Lepisosteus oculatus: one gene and its partner. The protein of the gene in region 1 purifies or fractionates together with the protein of each later gene. This does not show direct contact. Links are inferred from orthologs where the notes say so. Each region holds a gene or a part of one and is shown on either strand. Other genes may lie near its edges. The genes, in order: signal transducer and activator of transcription 1-alpha/beta and pias1b.

The links.
Region 2: the proteins of signal transducer and activator of transcription 1-alpha/beta (region 1) and pias1b purify together in Homo sapiens (affinity purification with western blotting; 5 studies listed by BioGRID). This does not show direct contact. The link is inferred for Lepisosteus oculatus from reciprocal best matches to the Homo sapiens genes STAT1 and PIAS1.

What each region holds. Positions count from the first base shown.
Region 1 is NC_090707.1:26,783,068-26,791,943, reverse strand, and holds the start of signal transducer and activator of transcription 1-alpha/beta, read left to right. Parts: upstream 1-5,168; 5' UTR 5,169-5,217; coding exon 5,218-5,258; intron 5,259-6,993; exon of another isoform or gene 6,994-7,170; intron 7,171-8,876. UniProt on the Homo sapiens protein: Signal transducer and transcription activator that mediates cellular responses to interferons (IFNs), cytokine KITLG/SCF and other cytokines and other growth factors.
Region 2 is NC_090700.1:48,158,793-48,167,979, reverse strand, and holds the start of pias1b (E3 SUMO-protein ligase PIAS1), read right to left. Parts: upstream 4,242-9,187; 5' UTR 4,224-4,241; coding exon 4,200-4,223; intron 1-4,199. UniProt on the Homo sapiens protein: Functions as an E3-type small ubiquitin-like modifier (SUMO) ligase, stabilizing the interaction between UBE2I and the substrate, and as a SUMO-tethering factor. Catalyzes sumoylation of various proteins, such as CEBPB, MRE11, MTA1, PTK2 and PML.

The DNA of each region.
Region 1 (8,876 bases):
TTGAGTACGGAGCAAAAATAAAAAGACATCTGTCAGGCTGCCTAGCAAACCTCTCAGGAGGAATAAAAGGTAAGGCACAAAGAGCAGGAATCTCAGGTGAAGCTGCTGTACCTTCCTCTGCTGGCGCTGCAGCGGGTGCTGGCTGTCCTGGCAAGTAAACCAAATGTGCTGTTTGTCAGAATGGGGCTGATCTGGTCAATGGATCTGGTGCAGGACTCAGGAGACTCAGAAAAACACTAAGCTGAATCGCTAGGCAAAAATGAAAACCAGGAAGCAGGAGAGCAGGTTGGAACACGGAGAGTCAAAGAGCCAGCAACGATCCAAAACACAAGGCAAAGTCAAATCCAGGAAGCAGGTGAGTAGGTCGGAACACAGAAGTACAATGAGAAAGCAACAATCCAAAACACTAGGTGAAATTGAACAGGTAGGTCAGCAGGTCTTGGTTAATCCTTTCCGCCTGACCATTGGCTTCGGGGTGGTAACCAGAAGTGAGGGAGGAGGATGCCCCTAAAACCTGGAAGAAAGCCTTCCAAAACTCTAGATATGAACTGCGGACCCCTGTCTGAAACAATATCCTTCGGAATGCCATGGAAGTGGAAAACATGCTGGACAAAAAGGTCTGCCATCTCTCTTGCTGATGGGAGGGCTGGAAGAGGAACAACATGTACAGCTTAGGAGAAACAGTCGATGACCACCATGATCGTCGTTTTACCGTGGCTTTTCGGGAGATCTGTCAGGAATGTGTAAACCAGGACGTACTTCTGAACGATGTCCCTAAAAATGTCATTCATAAAGCCCTGGAATACTATAGGAGCATTAGCCAGGCCAAAGGGCATGACCGGATATTCATAATGACTAAGTGTAGTAATGAAGGCTGTCTTCCACTCATCACCATCACGGATGCGGATGAGGTTGTAGGCGCCCCGAAGGTCAAGTTTGGTGAAGACAGAGGCTCCCTGAAGAGATTCCAATGCAGAGTTAATGAGGGGAAGGAGATACCGGTTCTTGATAGTAATCTCATTCAGGCTCCTGTAATCGATACAGGGCTGCAGGGATCCATCCTTCTTCTCCACGAAAAAAAAACCTGCACAGGCCGGAGAAGTAAAAGGGCGAATGATGGATGTAAAACTCCAGGGCATCAGAGTCTTTCAGAGAAAGTGGGTAGGTTCTTCCTCTTGGAGGCAGGGTTCCAGGTAGTAAGTCAATGGCGCAATCAGAGAGACGGTATGGTGGCAAGGAGAGTGCTTTTTGCTTGCTGAAGGCAAGGTGCAGGTCGCTGTCACGGACGTCCAAAGGGACTAACCGTGGGGAGCAGGAGAGCGGAAAAAGACTCATATGCGTAGCGGCGAGACGGGAAAAAGGCCCAAGCTCATAAGTGCAAAGAGTTCAGGAATGCCGTATAGAAACCTATGCCCTCAGGGAGCGGACGTGGGGCGCCCTGGTGCTAGGCGGGTCTCAGGACATCCGAACGTCAATGCTGAGCGAGGACAGAGTGCAAGACCCGGAAATATATAGCCCAAGGGAAAGAGAGGGACAGGAAGACAGCAGACTGGAAACTAGGGACAGGACAGAGAAGGAGCGCCCTCTGGCTGCAGAGGGCGTGACAGTCGCAATATGCAGAAGAAATCCCGATGGATTCATCCTAGGTCATGTGGACAGAGGAAAGTCTGAGAGGCAACTGCAGGCAACGAGGATGACATTTGGGTCCCCAGGCCAGTAGTTCGCTGTTGGACTGGGAAAAGATGGGGTTGTGCATCTTCAACCAAGGGTATCCAAGAACCAGAGGATGGGAAGGAGAGTGGAGGAGGAGGAATTGGAATGCTCTCGGTGTGGAGGGCGCCAATGCGTAGTGTAAGGGGAATTTTTTCCCATTCAACAAGAGTGAGAGGGGATCCATCAAAGGTGAGGAGGCAGATAGGGGGCGAAACGGGGATGCAAGGAATATTAAAAGTGGTGGGAGTCCGGAGTCTAGGAAGTTTTCCTCTGTGCCTGAATCAACAAAAGCCAGAAGAGATTCTTTGAATCCATCCCTGGAAACCAGTGTGGGCAAAAAAAGGCCAGAAGAGGGAAGGATACCGACCTTGTCAGAGGGCAGGGAAGTACAGGGAGGGCAGACAGGGCATGAAGCTCGGAGATGGCCGGCTGCCACGCAATAAGGGCAACATCCCTCGGAGAGTCGTGGTGTCACTCCTCAGAAGACAGACTAGAGAAGGAGGTTGGGCGGGAGGGGGCAGAAGGGGTTTGAAGCCGGGAGCGTTGTTCTTGGAGCCTGATATTAATTTCGGCCAGATGGTAGATAAGATGCTCCAAGGAGGGAAAGTCCAGTGGAAGATATGCGAGGTGGTCCTGAAAAGCGGAAGACAAGCCCTGGCAGAACTGGTGGATAAGAGCCTCTTCATTCCAGGGCATTTGGGAGGCCAAAAGGTGGAATTCCATAGCATAATCTTGAAAAGTCCGGGAACCCTGGGTGAGAGAGACGAGACAGGAGATGGCTATATGGTGGGAGTGGAGATGACCAAAAATGGACTGCATGGCAGCAGAAAACTGGTTGGCATCAGCAGTCACGGGAAGATTCAGAGTGAGGAGGGAAGTAGCCTAGTCCAGGGCTCGACCGGAGAGGTGAGAGACCATGAAGGCAATCTCTCTGTCAGAGGGAAAATAATCCGGGCGAAGGTGGAAGGCCATCCAGCACTGGGTTAAACTCTGGAGTTTAGCTGGGTCCCCCTCAAATTTCTCCGGGATGGGAGGGGGCAAGAGGCAAGCAGCAGCAGCCAGGGGAGGAGCAGGTACGGGAGCCACCGGAGGAGGTGGGGGACAGGTGGTGTGGTCCACTAGGCATTGAACTGCAGCAGTCAGTTGTCCTAGAGCCTGGGACTGCTGTTGGAAAAAAAAGCAGCAGTGCTGTTATGGTCCGCTGGATCCATGAATAGGCTCAGTATTCTGTCAGAATGGGGCTGATCTGGTCAATGGATCCTGTGCAGAACTCCGGAGACTGAGAAAAACACTAAGCTGAATCGCTAGGCAAAAAAACTAAAACGAGGAAGCAGGAGAGGAGGTCAGAACGCGAAGTCAAAGAGGCAGCAATGATCCAAAACACAAGGCGAAGTCAAATCCAGGAATCAGGTGAGTAGGTCGGAAAACAGAAGTACAACGAGAAAGCAACAATCCAAAACACTAGGCGAAATCGAACACGAGAAGCAAGCAAGGAGATCAGGAACCGGAGAAAAGCTAGAGGAAAACGCGCACTAGGGACCTCAAGGAGAATCTGCAATAGTGAGCGGGGAAATGAGGAAAAAGGAGAACTAAAATAGGGACGGGAGAGAACGGTGATTGGTGTGTTACTTGCGGCGTGAGCGTTTGTTACAGGGTGTACGCGTGGGAATGCGGGAAGGAACAGAGACGCGAGTGGAATGCGTAACACCATTATCTGCTGGATAGAAACTTGCAGCTGATTAAATGCATGAGAATGCTGAGAAAGCACCATACCTCACCTTCTGCAGGGTCCATGTTAAGACTCAGTATACCATTACAGTGCAGAAGAAGGGCCCTAAGCAGAATCCTCTGAACTCAAAAGTACCAGCAAGAGTAAAAAAAACATAGGTCAGGAAGTCAGGCCAGGATCAAAAACCAGTAAATCCACAATAACTAAGTCAAGATCCAGATGACAAAGTCAAGGATCAGAGCCAAAAACCTAGAAATGTTGTGAAGCAGGGGACAATACAACTCTAGCTAGGTAAAACCCAATGTTAAGCAAGGAGTGGTGTGTCAGGTTGTCAAGTAGAAAGGTGGAAGAAGGTGTCTGATTAGTTACTTGGAAACTGCAATGTGAAGGAGATGATTAAGGGCGGTGAGTTCTCCGGGGGCGTGACGTAACATTGTGATTCCAATTACAATAGTAGAAGAGGGGAGAGGAGAGAGATGGAATAGAGGTGCTGTTGGTCCTCGGAGAAGCCAGCTAACTGCATCCATGGCAAAAAGAGGGAAAAACTGGCTTGGCACAGCACCAGCCCTAAATACAATACTAAACAGCCCATTCTTGGATTAAATCACTTTTAAGAACTGGGATATCTGAATATAGAATATAGTGTCTGAATCAGGCAAATTTGCATTGTTTGCATATCAGGCTGTAATGCAGATACCGTATTAGTTTTCATTAGGAGACAGTTATAGTTTTAATATTAATCCAAAAGATTGCATCAGCTTTCTGAAACTATCTTTTGGGGTCACCAGACTGGAAAAACAGAAATGCATCCTCATCCTGTTTACACTTCTCTAGTTATATCAGTATGATTACTGTGACATAAAACCAACTACAAAACTAAGTTAAGACACAAAGAAACATTTTAAAACGTTGTATTGTTCATTTGGGAACAAGTAAAGGTTAGTTCATGCTGAAAAAAGAAGAAAAAGTACTGGTTCCTTTCCGACCTACACATGCTGACGCAGTTACCTACTTGAACAATTGTTCATTTATTTCAATTAAATTCGTTATATATCATATAAAATAAAGGGTTTGAATAGAATTCCGGGTCGTGCCATTGCTTTTCCTTGTTCTGTACAACAATCAAAATCCATTATTGTTGAGCCACAACTACACAAGTAGCCTACTTCTATCCACATATAGAACAGATAATTATTGTTTTCATAAACTCAGGTCTGCTTTCATAAGATCTTTACAGCAGCATTACGGCTGGTTACTACTATCAAACATTTAAAAGTCAACACGTATTACGATAACAAAAAATCGATTTAATATCCGTAAAGGAATGCTGTGAATTAAACAATTAAACATTATAACAATGGGGGAAAAAAAACAATTACATATTTTAATTTTTACAAAACGCTCCTCGTTCTGCTTCACCACAGAGCTTAAAAGTCTTAAAAGCTTAAAGTCTTAAAAATCCTGGAGGGAGAAAATAAGCTGCAGCTGCAAAAGCAGCCGCTTGGTAAAGTTGAGACTAACAATCAGAAAGAGATAAAAAAAAACCGTTTGGCTCCAATTAAAGTTTCGTTTCTCTGTTTCCTTTCAATGCAGTGATCTCCCAGATCCTTTCGGTTTCTCGGAAACCTCGTGATACAGCTCTTATGCCAGTCGGCCTTCCTCCCTGAAACAGCTAGCGGAATAAAGCTATCCTTCTCCAGAAGGCGTTTCTAGCTAATACAGCTGTAGCATAGGGTTAAGGGTGTGGTCGGCGTACCGCAGCTAAAGGAAGAAAGATGAACGGCCTCATTTTTTCAAGCAAGGATGTTGGTAACAGGTAAAGGTTACAGATGAAAGCAGGTTTGCTTCCTGCAATAATCCAATTATTTGATCAAGCCACTCCTAAGATCCGAGAGAAATGGTTGTAACACTGTAACTCAGCAGTTTGTTCTAAGATATCAGTGTTTGATAAAGGAATGTCCTGTTTTCTTTCACGGATGCTCCCCTTTAATTTTCTCGTGCGTCGCCGATTATTTGAAGATGTCAGATGCCTTTCCTAGCACAATACTTCTCATGATATTTAAGAACACTAACACATATCTATATTGTCGTCTTTCCCCCAAAACTGTGACTTGACAAATTATTGAAAAACATTTAAAAAATGTAAGCTCAGTCTCAGAATCAATGGGCACAACTAGTGGGAGTAAACATTTCGATGTATATGTTTTGCATTATCTTTTCAATTTCAATACATTCACTTTTAAAATCCCTAACTGTAGATTGATCTGCAAACGGCTACAGAAGAGATTTTCGCTGTTTTAAAAGTAAGATTAAAGTACATCTTTTAGTCCTTTGTGATAGATTCTCATTACTTGCAGAGTTTTGTGATTGTCTTGTATCACCTTCTGAATTTATACATATTTTGATTTAATTAACTACTTCAGTTAAGATGATTTTCGAATGTCAAGCTGTGTTTTCTAGAATAAAACTGTTCTTGAAACACTGTTTCTTAAACTATTTCAGCAAAACTGTAATTTCCTGGAATGAAAAAGTACTGTATGATGCATCATTTGCAAATAAGTAAAGATATTTAACAGGCAAAAGTAACTAAATGTCAGCAAAGAAACATACTGGATCCTTTTTCAGTCTGAAATTTCTTTAGTTCTGAACTAGATGTGTTTTGTACACTATAAGATAACTCTTTACAGGTTTTTGTAATCCTGAACCCAGGAGTCCACTTGGGGGCTTAATCTAAGACCTATAGTGAAACAAAATCCTGAAGGTACAAGTGGAAATTGAGGGAATGTACATTTAAGACAGTGAAAACTGGTGTCTGTTCAATATGTGTTAAAATTTTCTGGAGCAGGCTAGCCAGTTATATAATTGAAGCAAATCTTCTGTGATTCTTTGAAAAACGTCTGGACGAGATCTGCAGATCACATAGCAAGACAATACAATTAATAATAATAATAATAATAATAATAATAATAATAATAATAATAATAATAGCTAACACTTATATAGCGCTTTTCTGGATACTCCACTCAAAGCGCTTTACAGGTAATGGGGACTCCCCTCCACCACCACCAATGTGCAGCATCCACCTGGATGAAGGTGAGCAGAATGGCCTCCTCTGGTTTGTAACCTTTTTATGTACTTATGTTTATGCTTAATCTTATGGTACAATGAAATCTTTTACCAAATTCCAAATTCCAAATTATTTGATATATTTTTAATACAACAATATCATTTACAATTAGGATTTTAATTTTTGTAAATTGTCAAAGAAAAATAATTTGCTAAATTACACCGTAAGTATGCACATTTGTCTAGGTTTCTGCGTCTCACAAAATCTCATGGGAAAGTAAACTTTCTATTTCTCCTACAGGCTGGGGAAATTACGAGGGAGGGTTGACTAATGTTTAGAACAGCTCCTACTCCCTGAGCCTTTAAAAAAAAGTGGGAAAGACAATTTCCTCTTTACGTTGGTTGGCTTTCGAAGAGGAATTGGGTGTTAGTGAGCAAACTCTTATTTGTGATTGGCTGAGAGGCATGCCAATTGTTTGTTTCTGGTCAGCTGGCAAGATGACATCCAGTTAATAAGAACGTCAGAGTTAGTTTCGTTTTTCGAGGTGTTTTGAGTGAGAGAAATCATTTTTCTGAAGTCTACAAGGTTGAGACCAGTGAATGTCCTTTCTTCTGTTCGACGTTTTGTTAAGTGTTTATTTTAAACGGATCAAATATTAAAGGTTAGTAAACAGTTTGATTTAAATACGAAGTTTTATTTACAGGAAGTCGGGAGAGGCTCTGTAGCTGTAGTGATGGACCCTTTACATACAGTACGGTTGCTTTGGAAATTACTGTTGGCGTCGTCATTGCTATACTGTTTTTGATGAGGTTATATATACTGTATATATTTTTACCTTAAGTAGTTATTAACACAACTTCAGGAGTGACAATAGGAGTGTTTTATTCTATAATAATTTTTTTATATGGTATACTGTAGAGATCATACAGTACTGTACACTGGTAATTAATAAAGTTATCTAAAAACACACTCCATGATATACCATAGTTTATCACAGCACAGTCCTATTTAATTATACTAGTAGTGGTTAATATAAAGAATGATATGTTGTAATTATATCGTATTTTCTTTTATATATTTTTGTCTCAATCTTTCTGAATCTTGAAATGATATTCATAAATATTTCTGTTCTCTATTTTGATAAAAAGTTAAGTAAATGTACTTCTTGCAATTTTCGAACTGTATTAATGTATTTTGCTGATGATTTGATCAGGTCTCAAAAATGTTTATACTGCCCTTACATAAACGGCAAGGACTTCTGAAAATGAGAAGTCCCAGATTGCCCTGCAGTTATATTTGAAGTTACTGTATTTGCTAGAGCCTAAATTTCCAGTTGGCCTTTCCGCAATTGGAATTATAGAATAGACCCACCTAGGCTATAGTACTGAGATATCAGACTCATTTTATGGAAGGCCTTGTGTCACAAATTTGATATTTAATGGTGAATCCTACTAGATGGGAGCTAAGGTTTTAGACCCCTAATCTACTGTATTTGTGAAAGTGAAAACTGGCTTTATTTTATTTCAGTGCCCATCACAAGTATACCATTAAATAACATGGGCAGTCATTTGTTAAGCAACAATTTTAAAAGCATGTGTGAAGAACCTTTTATTCACAAGTTTTTACTTGTACTGTCCTAATTGCGCAAACATTTACTAGTCTAAAGTTTTAAAGTTGATTTTCTCAGTCATAACATTGAGCATCATAGTCAAAATGGCTGAAACAAATTGTGTGTGTGGGGGGTCCAAAATATGAATTTCAACTTAAAGTAAACTGTTTTGCACTGTTTTTTAAACTAACAAAATTTTTACTTCTGTCCAGTTATGTCTGTTCTTTAGGAACAGACAGTCTTATTTAGGATGCTGAACTGATTAACTTAATGATGCTGCCTGGTTGTTAACCTGAAGCTTATACTTTTAATGTTTTCTGACCTAATAGATTTGAACCGCATCAAAAAAGGTGTTGTTAATTTGTTTTTAAATGTGTAAAAAATGTATTTTGCACTTTTTAAATCTAGAATTGGAATTTTTTCTCATACATGTACCCAGTTTGGAATAGACAGCTTACTATTTTTCAGATCCTGGTTCATGGCTCAAACCCTGCAGCTGCACACAGGAGAGAAGGAGGAAGTGTAGTAGACTCCTTGAACCCTCTCACTTTCATACATTTCACAGTTCCATGAAGGAGGTTCTGACCAACTACTCCCTTGCTGGCGTTGAGCCAAAAGTTCTTCATCACTTGTGGGATTGCAATCACATTTGGCTGGTGAAATGAAGTGGGTTTGAACTCATGATGCCTGGCTCAAACCTGCATTTGGGTGAACACTTCTGTCAGTTTTTTTAGGGTCATTCTATATGATTTTTAGGG
Region 2 (9,187 bases), on another chromosome or scaffold:
AGAAAAAGCACTTGCAACTCACCTGAAAGTTGCAAATTCTGCTCCTGTTGGGAATGTACCAACTAAATCTGCAACATTACAGGATACGCATCAACAAATACCACTTACCCTAGACATACACAAATATTTGTTGCCATTACAGTAACAAGGTCTGTGCACCAAAAAACAGTACAAGAGACTTCAGAATAATGGACAACCACCTCTTTCACAACAACCCTGAAAGCCAGGAAAAGACACCAAAAAAAGTAAACTGGAAAACCCCTTCATGGACACACTGTTGCTCTTCTAAGACGGCTAGCAATAAACATAGAAGACAACTCTGAAGACATTAAAAATTCCAGATTAAACTGAATCATATAGATGTATTGAAATGCACAACCATTAATTTATAATATTTTTTTCTTACGTTATTAGACAAAGTAAATACTCTACTACAGAAACAGACAAACTGGAAGCTTTTAGCTCTGGTTCATATTGACCTCAGTTCATCTGTGACCTGTTGCTTCTTCACACAGAACAAAGACATGAAACAATGAATTTTCAATATGTTAGGATTAATACATCAGTGTTTTTAACTGCAGTCAAAAGAAAATTCAGGCCTATGTAGAAAGCACAGTCCAATAAGCAGGGATGCAGAAACAGATTGGGCCCTTCTGTCTTTAAGCGACTTCCCATTTTCTCCAAATGCATTTTATTTTTTAAAAAGCATTTCTTCCAAACTACACATAAATTAATTAATTAAACATTCCACACTAATGCTTGTTGTTCCAGGTATTAGAGCCTTTCTGGTTACATTTTCAACATTTTCCAAATATTGTTCAATTTTTCCAATTGTATCCCCATTCTAGTACAGTAGCTAGTGGCTGAGCACACATACAAAGTGGGACCCGACCCACAGATAAATGAGAACATACACGGTCCTTTAAATTCACGAGAACGCCCAAAATAGATCGAGTGGGTTGCTCGATGCCTGTGCTTCAATGCTCGGTCAGTAAGATCTGCCCACTCACAGTCGGCACAGGAGCCAGGAATCTACCCACTCTGTGGGGGCCGTGGGCACTGCCTGTCACACCTTCACCGCAGGCTCGGACAGTACCCCCTCCTCATCACCCCTTTCACACGGGTCCGACAGCCGTATGACACTGCCATGTAGCTGCTGCACTGTTTCCTGTGAGAGCGCTGCTGTGATTTCTACCTTGCTGATAAGCACCCTTAATGCATTAAATCCATAAATCAAGTATTCCTTTGTATAAAAATGCAAAATTATTTTGGGTTACTTCTTTAAAGAGTGGAAAAATGCATCCATGTGAAGATAACGTATAGACTACAAAAATAAAATACCTATGGATCCACCATAGTAAAAATTACTACAAGGTCATACAAAGTCAAACTAAAGAACAGATTTTTTACCATGTACTTTGGAGAAAGAAATGGCTGACAAGAAATAGAAAAATATTACTCACACTTCCATGTTTTAATGTTTTTTGTCTCCTAATCGGAGCCAAAATATCTAACAAATTCATTTTCACTTGTTTCACTAGCCACAATAACCTAAAAACTTACAGCAAAAATAATTCAATGCACAAACTTTGTTCTATAATTTTAACATCTCCTACAAGTTAAAAGTTAAGAAACAACTTGGAAACAAGTTAAGAGTCCAAATAGTTTCCCAAGATTTTAAATCAAGCGTGACTCCAGAACTCCGAGGTCCCAAGATCAAGTTGAGCCCAACTCACTGTCCAGTGTAATCAAGTCACAACTAAGTACCGCGCTCTGAAGCCCCAGGTCAAGTCTGAATTTAAAACAAAATGTTGAATTGGAACCTCATCCAAGAGTGCAAGACACCACTGGGTATACAGAGTTGCTGGGAGTCAGAGGAAAGGGCACAGAATCACACCTGCTCCTGGGTAGCTACAGCAAGGGGATCAAGAGACCCTACTATTCTCATAATACAATTGCTCCCCACCAAGAGCAAGACATTTCTCCTCAATGGACAATTTCTTCAACACTGGCTCAAAAATCCAACTTCATAAGAAACTTGACAAATTGATTTTAAAAACAGTATTTTACCAAAAACATCTGTTTAAATGAAAATGAAAGCTCCTCCAGACAAGAAATGATATGCCGTTACTAGAACAGTTCACCTCTGAAAAGAACAATGACCTTTCAAAGCCACAGGGCCGCCTGACAGAGTCCGAGATCCAGTCACTCCACCGCTTCACTTCCTTCCTCAGAGAGCACCGACCTGAGCAAACGCTGTACCGCCACAGCTACACAGATACAGAGCACACCACTGCTGTTCTACCCGTGACCGATAGAAACAGATTGCATGCAGATCCAACTCCGTTTTGCCAGAAAACCACATGGGCCCCAAACTGATCAGTCTCCTAAATGAGTCAGCTGCATATCCTTGATCAATTCATTCGATAAGTCATTATTAAGATCAATAACAGTCCTTTAGGGGTCAGGTGTCACTTCCTACAAGATTACTTCCACCATCGCTTAGCCAAAGGTCCAACCTTCGGTCACACTTAAAAACAGCAAGAGTTTTTATATTGTGAATTAATTTTCCAAAAAGTGATGAAGGTACATTACAGGCATCCAGTTTTGCTACTCCCATCAAAGCGTTGTCTATAAATAAAAAGCACAGATTCCCCCACATGTTAAAAACACACACAAGAATACGAGTCTGAAAAACGCACTGCATCTTTAACTTGCCATGTCGGGATGCATCAATGAACTTCTCCTCTGGAGGTATTACCTATCCCCTCGGCTTTATCGCTGTCCACAGACTTGAACACAAACATTACTGTGTCAGGCGAGAGACAACTATCACAGCTTCTGTTGTAGGTTCCTCGGTTCTCTCTCCACCATCCCAGCAGCTCTAGGCTGTAGGTGAGGAGCTGGAGATACACATGCGCTTTCGCCTGCTACTCTCGTTTCCACTGTGCCGGTCTCAACTCTACACTCTCACTCCAGCGTGCTTGATGGTCATCCGATTCAAACATGCGGAACATCAGGTTAAAACATAGCTTAATAAAATTACACTAACGCTAGCTATGTTTACAACCGGCGAATTCAAATATTTGAATGCATCAGTGCAGTCAACTATTACAAATCCAAGAAAATGCTGGATTAAAAAAAATGATTATAGGATTATATTTACAAAGAAAACGTGGATTCGATTTCTGCTTTCGCTTATTATTTTGATGCACATTTGCTCTAAGGGAAACTTTTTAACAAAGGGATATATTCGTATCAAACTTTCCATGCAGCAATGCACCAGCTGGTGAGATGAAGTTTTTCACGGCGAGCCACGATACGGAATGAGCTGCTTCATTCACGGTATCTAGTAAAAACCAACATAAAAAACTTGAACGAGACACACAGCTAACATCGCCAATATCGGTGTGCACAAAGCGCAGAGAACCACTCATTACGAACTCCAGCTCCTACTATCACACACCAGGCAGAGGAGCAGTCGAGAGTCTTCAAAGTACAGCATCTTTTGTTTTCATTTCGCCTGAAAGCAGCTCAAGGAGTGAGCGGATGTTGAGTTATTCCGAGAGTCTCCTTTTCTTTCGGACAGGAAAAAAAAAAACCGCTACGACTAACCGAGCATCGAGAAACACTGGAGCACTGCTAACACCCAGCGATAAAGCCTGGGACAGACAGCGATCGCCTCACCCCTCCCCGATCGAACCACTTCCAGGCTGCGGTGCGAAGCCCCGAACAACGGGTCCGGCGGCTGGACTCGAGAAAACAGCACCGCTCCATCATCGTTTCAGCACACCGTACCTGACAGGACGACAACACGGCGGCGCCAGCCCTCTTTGCCCCGCTATTGTTGGCGATGCAGCGCTCACCTGCGCACGGGCAGCAGGACTCCGCAGGCGGGGAGCTCACTCTGCCAAGCTGCCAACTTTAATTACCTCGGAAAATACCACAGACCTATGGGACTCGGAATCTTCAAAGGCAGAACTGTGGCTACAAAACACAGCAGTCTGAACATCAACAATAACATGTTCTCGAGCATCGCGCAGAACTACAACTGAACTTCGAGTTCTGCAACATTTACACTAACGAATACTCCCCTAAGCGCCTTCTCTGTGAATTAATACACAACAGAGTGTCCTTCTATGGGCTTAATAACAAGAATTAACCGATTATATCAAATGTGATTTAAAGCTGCGCCTTACCTTCAGTTCCGCACTCTCCGCCATCTTGTAACTCTTGGCGCAGGCGTGATCAACCCCCGGCACGTGGGACGGACGTAAGGCACGCTGACGTCCTCACGCAAAGTTTTTTTAAATCTTGGCGCCTTTTCTCCCCAGCGCGTGGCTGCTCAGGGCCGGCTGTGCAACTCGAAGCTCTTTGCAGCCAGCATGAACAATGTAAGCCATACTGGGCCGTAATTATGACAATAAATAAGATTCTCATATGTTGAAGTCGTGGAACTGTCTTGTGTCTCCAGAAAATAAACACATATTTATATAAAACTGTCCTTCTGAGCAAAGATTTAATATGTCCCACTGCTTTCCTAGAGTTTGAGTAATTTCATATATACAGCCAATGAAAGAGATAAACAGCTGAAATGTTCCATTCCAGCCACTGGAATACACTTGGAACACTACAGAATCTTAACACAGCGCTACGGGGTTGTGTAGGGCACAGACACATGTAAATCAATCATCCATTTCCAAAACCCATTTGCCACATTTTAGTAGGCCATATCAACAGTCATATGTGACACTGCTCATTTGACAAAGAACGGTACGCTGAAATCCATTTGAAATGTATGCAAAACTGCACCCACAATTTTTCTGCTTTATGGAGAGTCTTCCCTAGATCCCCAACACACGTTTGCTCATACATACAAAGCAGACATGCCCAATGCATGGAGGAATGTGGCACGACAGGCAAGGCAGACCTCATGGCCTCCTCTATAACCTTTCTGAAGGTGAAAACCAACAGATTATCTTTTTTTTTCTAGTAAGCTACTGTATATGCACCTCTCTACACCTACAGTACAAACCGAACTCTCAGGTTCCTCTTTGAGAGCAAAGATTGTTCATGAATAGATCCAAAAACTCAGCTGCTCAGCTTGTAACTCATTCAAGGCTCGGCGATCACATCTCCCCAATTCTGACACGACTACCTCTACCTCACTGCCTCCCTATTACCCAGCGCATTCAGTTCAAAACTGTACTCTTAGCTTTTCAAGCTCTTCTCACCAAACCCCTGCAATACGTAGCATCTCTCATTACCCCCTGTGTACCCAGCTGGGCTATACGCTCTGCTGAGCCCAACCTTATATTAGAACCCTCTTACAGGTCCGGGCGTCTTCAGGCTCGCTCTTTCACCCACCTTGCTCCTCGGCTCTGGAACTCACTCCCTGCCACTCCGAGAAACGTCAGCTCTTTCACAGTCTTTAAATCTAGACTGAAGACTTCACTGCTTCGTCAGGCTTTTAATCAGCGTCTGCTTCTTCTCCCCTTTCCACGTTTTTTTCTCTCTAACTGCGTTTCGGTTTAATGTTGTTATTATTTTCTCTTTTTCTTCTGTGAATTAAACACGGGCACCACATATACATCCTTTCTAATCTTTATTCCTCGCGGACACTCGACACCCTCTGGTGAATATGTCCCTCTCATCTGGCAAGTGACCCCTGACATGTAAAATATCCACACGACTTGCATTTTCCCTGCCTTTCAGGAAGGTGATAGTGTTGTGAGAATATAAACTTTATCGATTTATGAATTCACCATTTTCAGAAAACAAGAACATGCTGGGGTTTTTTTTTCGTTACAGTGGTTGATAAAGACAACCTGAGATGAAAATGTAGAGTACTATTTCTGATGGCGTGACCAGGAAAGCAGAAACACAATCATCAGATCTGAGGTGTGCAGCTTCTTGAAACCCCTTCTATTCTTCCGAATACTGCAGGAACTGGGAAGGGTTTGTCAAGTACAGGATAATGGAGAGAGCGAAGGACAGAGAGCAAGCCTTGGTTAAGGCATGGCTCCGAAACATTCGCTAAAAAGAAGAGGAGGAAGAGGAGAATGACAGCACAGGGAATTCAGGTTAAGCAGCAGGGGGGTTTCTGGGTCTCTGGCTCCTCTGCTCAGCTGCACTGTGAGCTGTAACGAGTTTCTCCTGCAGAACGATTTCCGTCCTGTCTGGCTGCAGGGGTGCTCAAGAGCTTTATTAGGCCTGGAGACTGAACCAACACAGGGTAGAAATTTGGACATCTTATTAAAAAAAAAAGTCAAGGAACAAAAGTTGAACTGAACTGAAGAGCTTTGAACAGTTCAACGGAAGAACTTCAGATCTTGCTCTACCCCACACACACACACACACACACACACACACACACACACACACACAATATTTCACACTCCTATCACAGTCAGCAGAGACTACGATACCTACAGCACTGGTTTCAGGGGATCATGGGTCGCAGTGGATTATGAAAGTAGGACAGAATCCTGCTTCTCCAATCTCAACACTTACTGCAAGAAAGGAGCAGCTTTGAAGCAGTTTTAACATGCATCTCCTCTGTTTTGCCATGTTTCCTCAGTTTTTTGTAGGACACTATCACAACTTTTGCATGCTTTTAGCACGACTTCAAATGCTACAACTTGCTTGGTTTTTGTAGGAGTTCACTGCAATAGACACACATGCTGGCTGAATTACTGCATTTCATTTCACAGAACACTCTTCTCCGACATGAACAAATACTGCAGGGCACAAGGCTTTAGTGCCGTTTGTGTCCTCGTCAGTGGTGAAACAAGGACCTGTATGTCACATTGAAGTGTTGGGCAAGAACTTCATTGAAGTAAATAATAAATAATCTGTACGCTTCTATAGTGCTTTTCTGGGCACTCCACTCAAAGCACTTAACAGGTAGCGGGGACTCCCCTCCACCTTCACCAGTGTGTAGCCCTCGCCTGCATGATGCAATGGCAGCCATAGTGCACCAGTACGCTCCCCACACACCAGCTCTCAGTGTGGAGGAGAACAGAGTGATAATATTTGGTTTGGCTCTGTACACCAGCACATTGGATTTGAAAGAATGACTATGAGGATAGTCATGAGGATGAGGTAGCCAGTTCAGAGACAGGGATTATTAGAAGGCCAGGGGAAACTTTGTTAAACTCCTACTCTTTAAAAAAAAAAAAAGCCCTGGGACTTTTAATGACCAAAGAGAGCCAGGACCTTGCTTTTACATCTCATCTGAAGGACAATACCTTCTTTATGGTGGAAAAAGTGTCCCTTTCATAAGGTCCCCTTCACTATACTGGGCCAGTAGGATCCACAGAAACCACAGGGTGAGCACCCCCTGCTGGCCCCACTAACACCTCTTCCAGCAGCAACCTTAGTTGTGTGTGTGTGTGTGTCTATTATTTGGATGATTCCTCTCTTCAGAAAAACACAACCTGCCCTTGAATTAAACTGTTCATTTCTTCTGATCTTAAAGTAGATGCTCTCCTTGCTCTCACAAAAACGTTACCACTTGCAGTCAAGAGCTTAAGGACAAGAGTCTCAGAATTAACCAAGAAAGCAGGCAAATGTCTTTCTGCTTAATTTAATTGCAAGAGTATATACAATGTTTGAATAATACTCTCAACATACGGATTCAACTGAAGGTCATGAGATAACCTTCATGTTTTCTGGATATACACATCCATGGATTGTATGTATTAATAAAACAAAGAATAAGAATCCAGCTTTGGAATATTTAAACAGTAGAGACCTTAAATATTTGTGGAAGGGCAGTTTTGGAGCATCTTATATGAAGATGAGGATTATCAGGTCCCCATGAAAGAATTATTCATTTTATCATTAAAGAGAAGGTTCTGGTGTGCCATTGGCCTGAAATACCTACATTTTATTAATTAAACTAAATGGTTAATTGTACATATTCTAATGCACAATTGAAAGCATCTGTTGTGTGTAAAACATCAATTATATGAGGAATATTTTTTACAATCCATAGATAAGGCAAAAAACGTTTGGTACAAATTGAGTTGTAGCAAAGATTGATATTAGAATTATGATTCTAAACATAAGAAATTGTATTTAGAATTATGGTAATACTAACATTTTAAAAAAATAAAAGCTTAAAACGCATTCACAAAGATGCTACTAATGGAATACAGTATTGTATATAAACTCCGTACAGAACGTCTATTTTCTTCCCTTTCATTGCGTTTTGCTGTTTGTCCACCAGATGGAGATCTTGTATTAATCCAGGGAACCCAGCTTAACTGGAGTTGGCATTCTGAGACTGTTGATGTTCACCTACAATGAATACGGTGCTTTTAAGAGCTACTGTGACATTTGTAGCTATACTAAAACATGACGCTGTTGATTCTCTAATGAATTTTGACACGATGATACTGCACAGTAATTTTCGGACTCCTCTGCCGTTTCTGTTCAGCCTTCTCCTACACGCGTGTCTGTTTTCACAGCCATCTTTCCCTTGAATGTTTGCACGACTCTGAGCGGGCTGGGGTGAGTGTGAGGGTCCATCACCTGGTGGAGGGAGACCGGACCTCACGCTCTCTTTCTTAACTGTATTGCGAGGCACGACGGACACTTGCTCATCTCATCCATCACATGGCGAAAATAAATGATGGGGGGGGGGAACGAAGGTCATTTTCTTCTATAGGTTTTTTTTTATTTTATTTATTTTATTTTATCCTTATTGCGTGCTAGTGTGGAAGGGGCATGGACCGGGGATGACGCGGTCTCGGTGGTCTCCCCACTGTTACTACAGCGAGCCAGCCGCGGGGTCAGCTTTGTCCACCTGACATGTCACCCCAAATCGAGGCCGATTGTCGCTTCTTTTTATGTAATTCAACCGGAATACAGGCTTTTAAATAATAATAATACACATATTCCCTCATTCAGCAGGTCGCGCCAGGGGTCTGAAGGAGCACAAGACACCGACCCGCCAGACCCCCTCCGTCAGATAGACTCTTATACTGCTTGGCGTCACGCTCCGCCTCCCTTTCACAAACACACTGGTGGTGCCGGAACACTTTCCACGGGGAGTTTGTGTACTCTCCCGTGTGGCCTCGTGGTGTTTCTCCCACGGTCCAAAGTCCAGTCGTGTCCCGGATAACTGGCTTCACTAAGTGGGCGCTCGTGTTTGTGTCCCGCGACGCACTGTTCCGCCCTG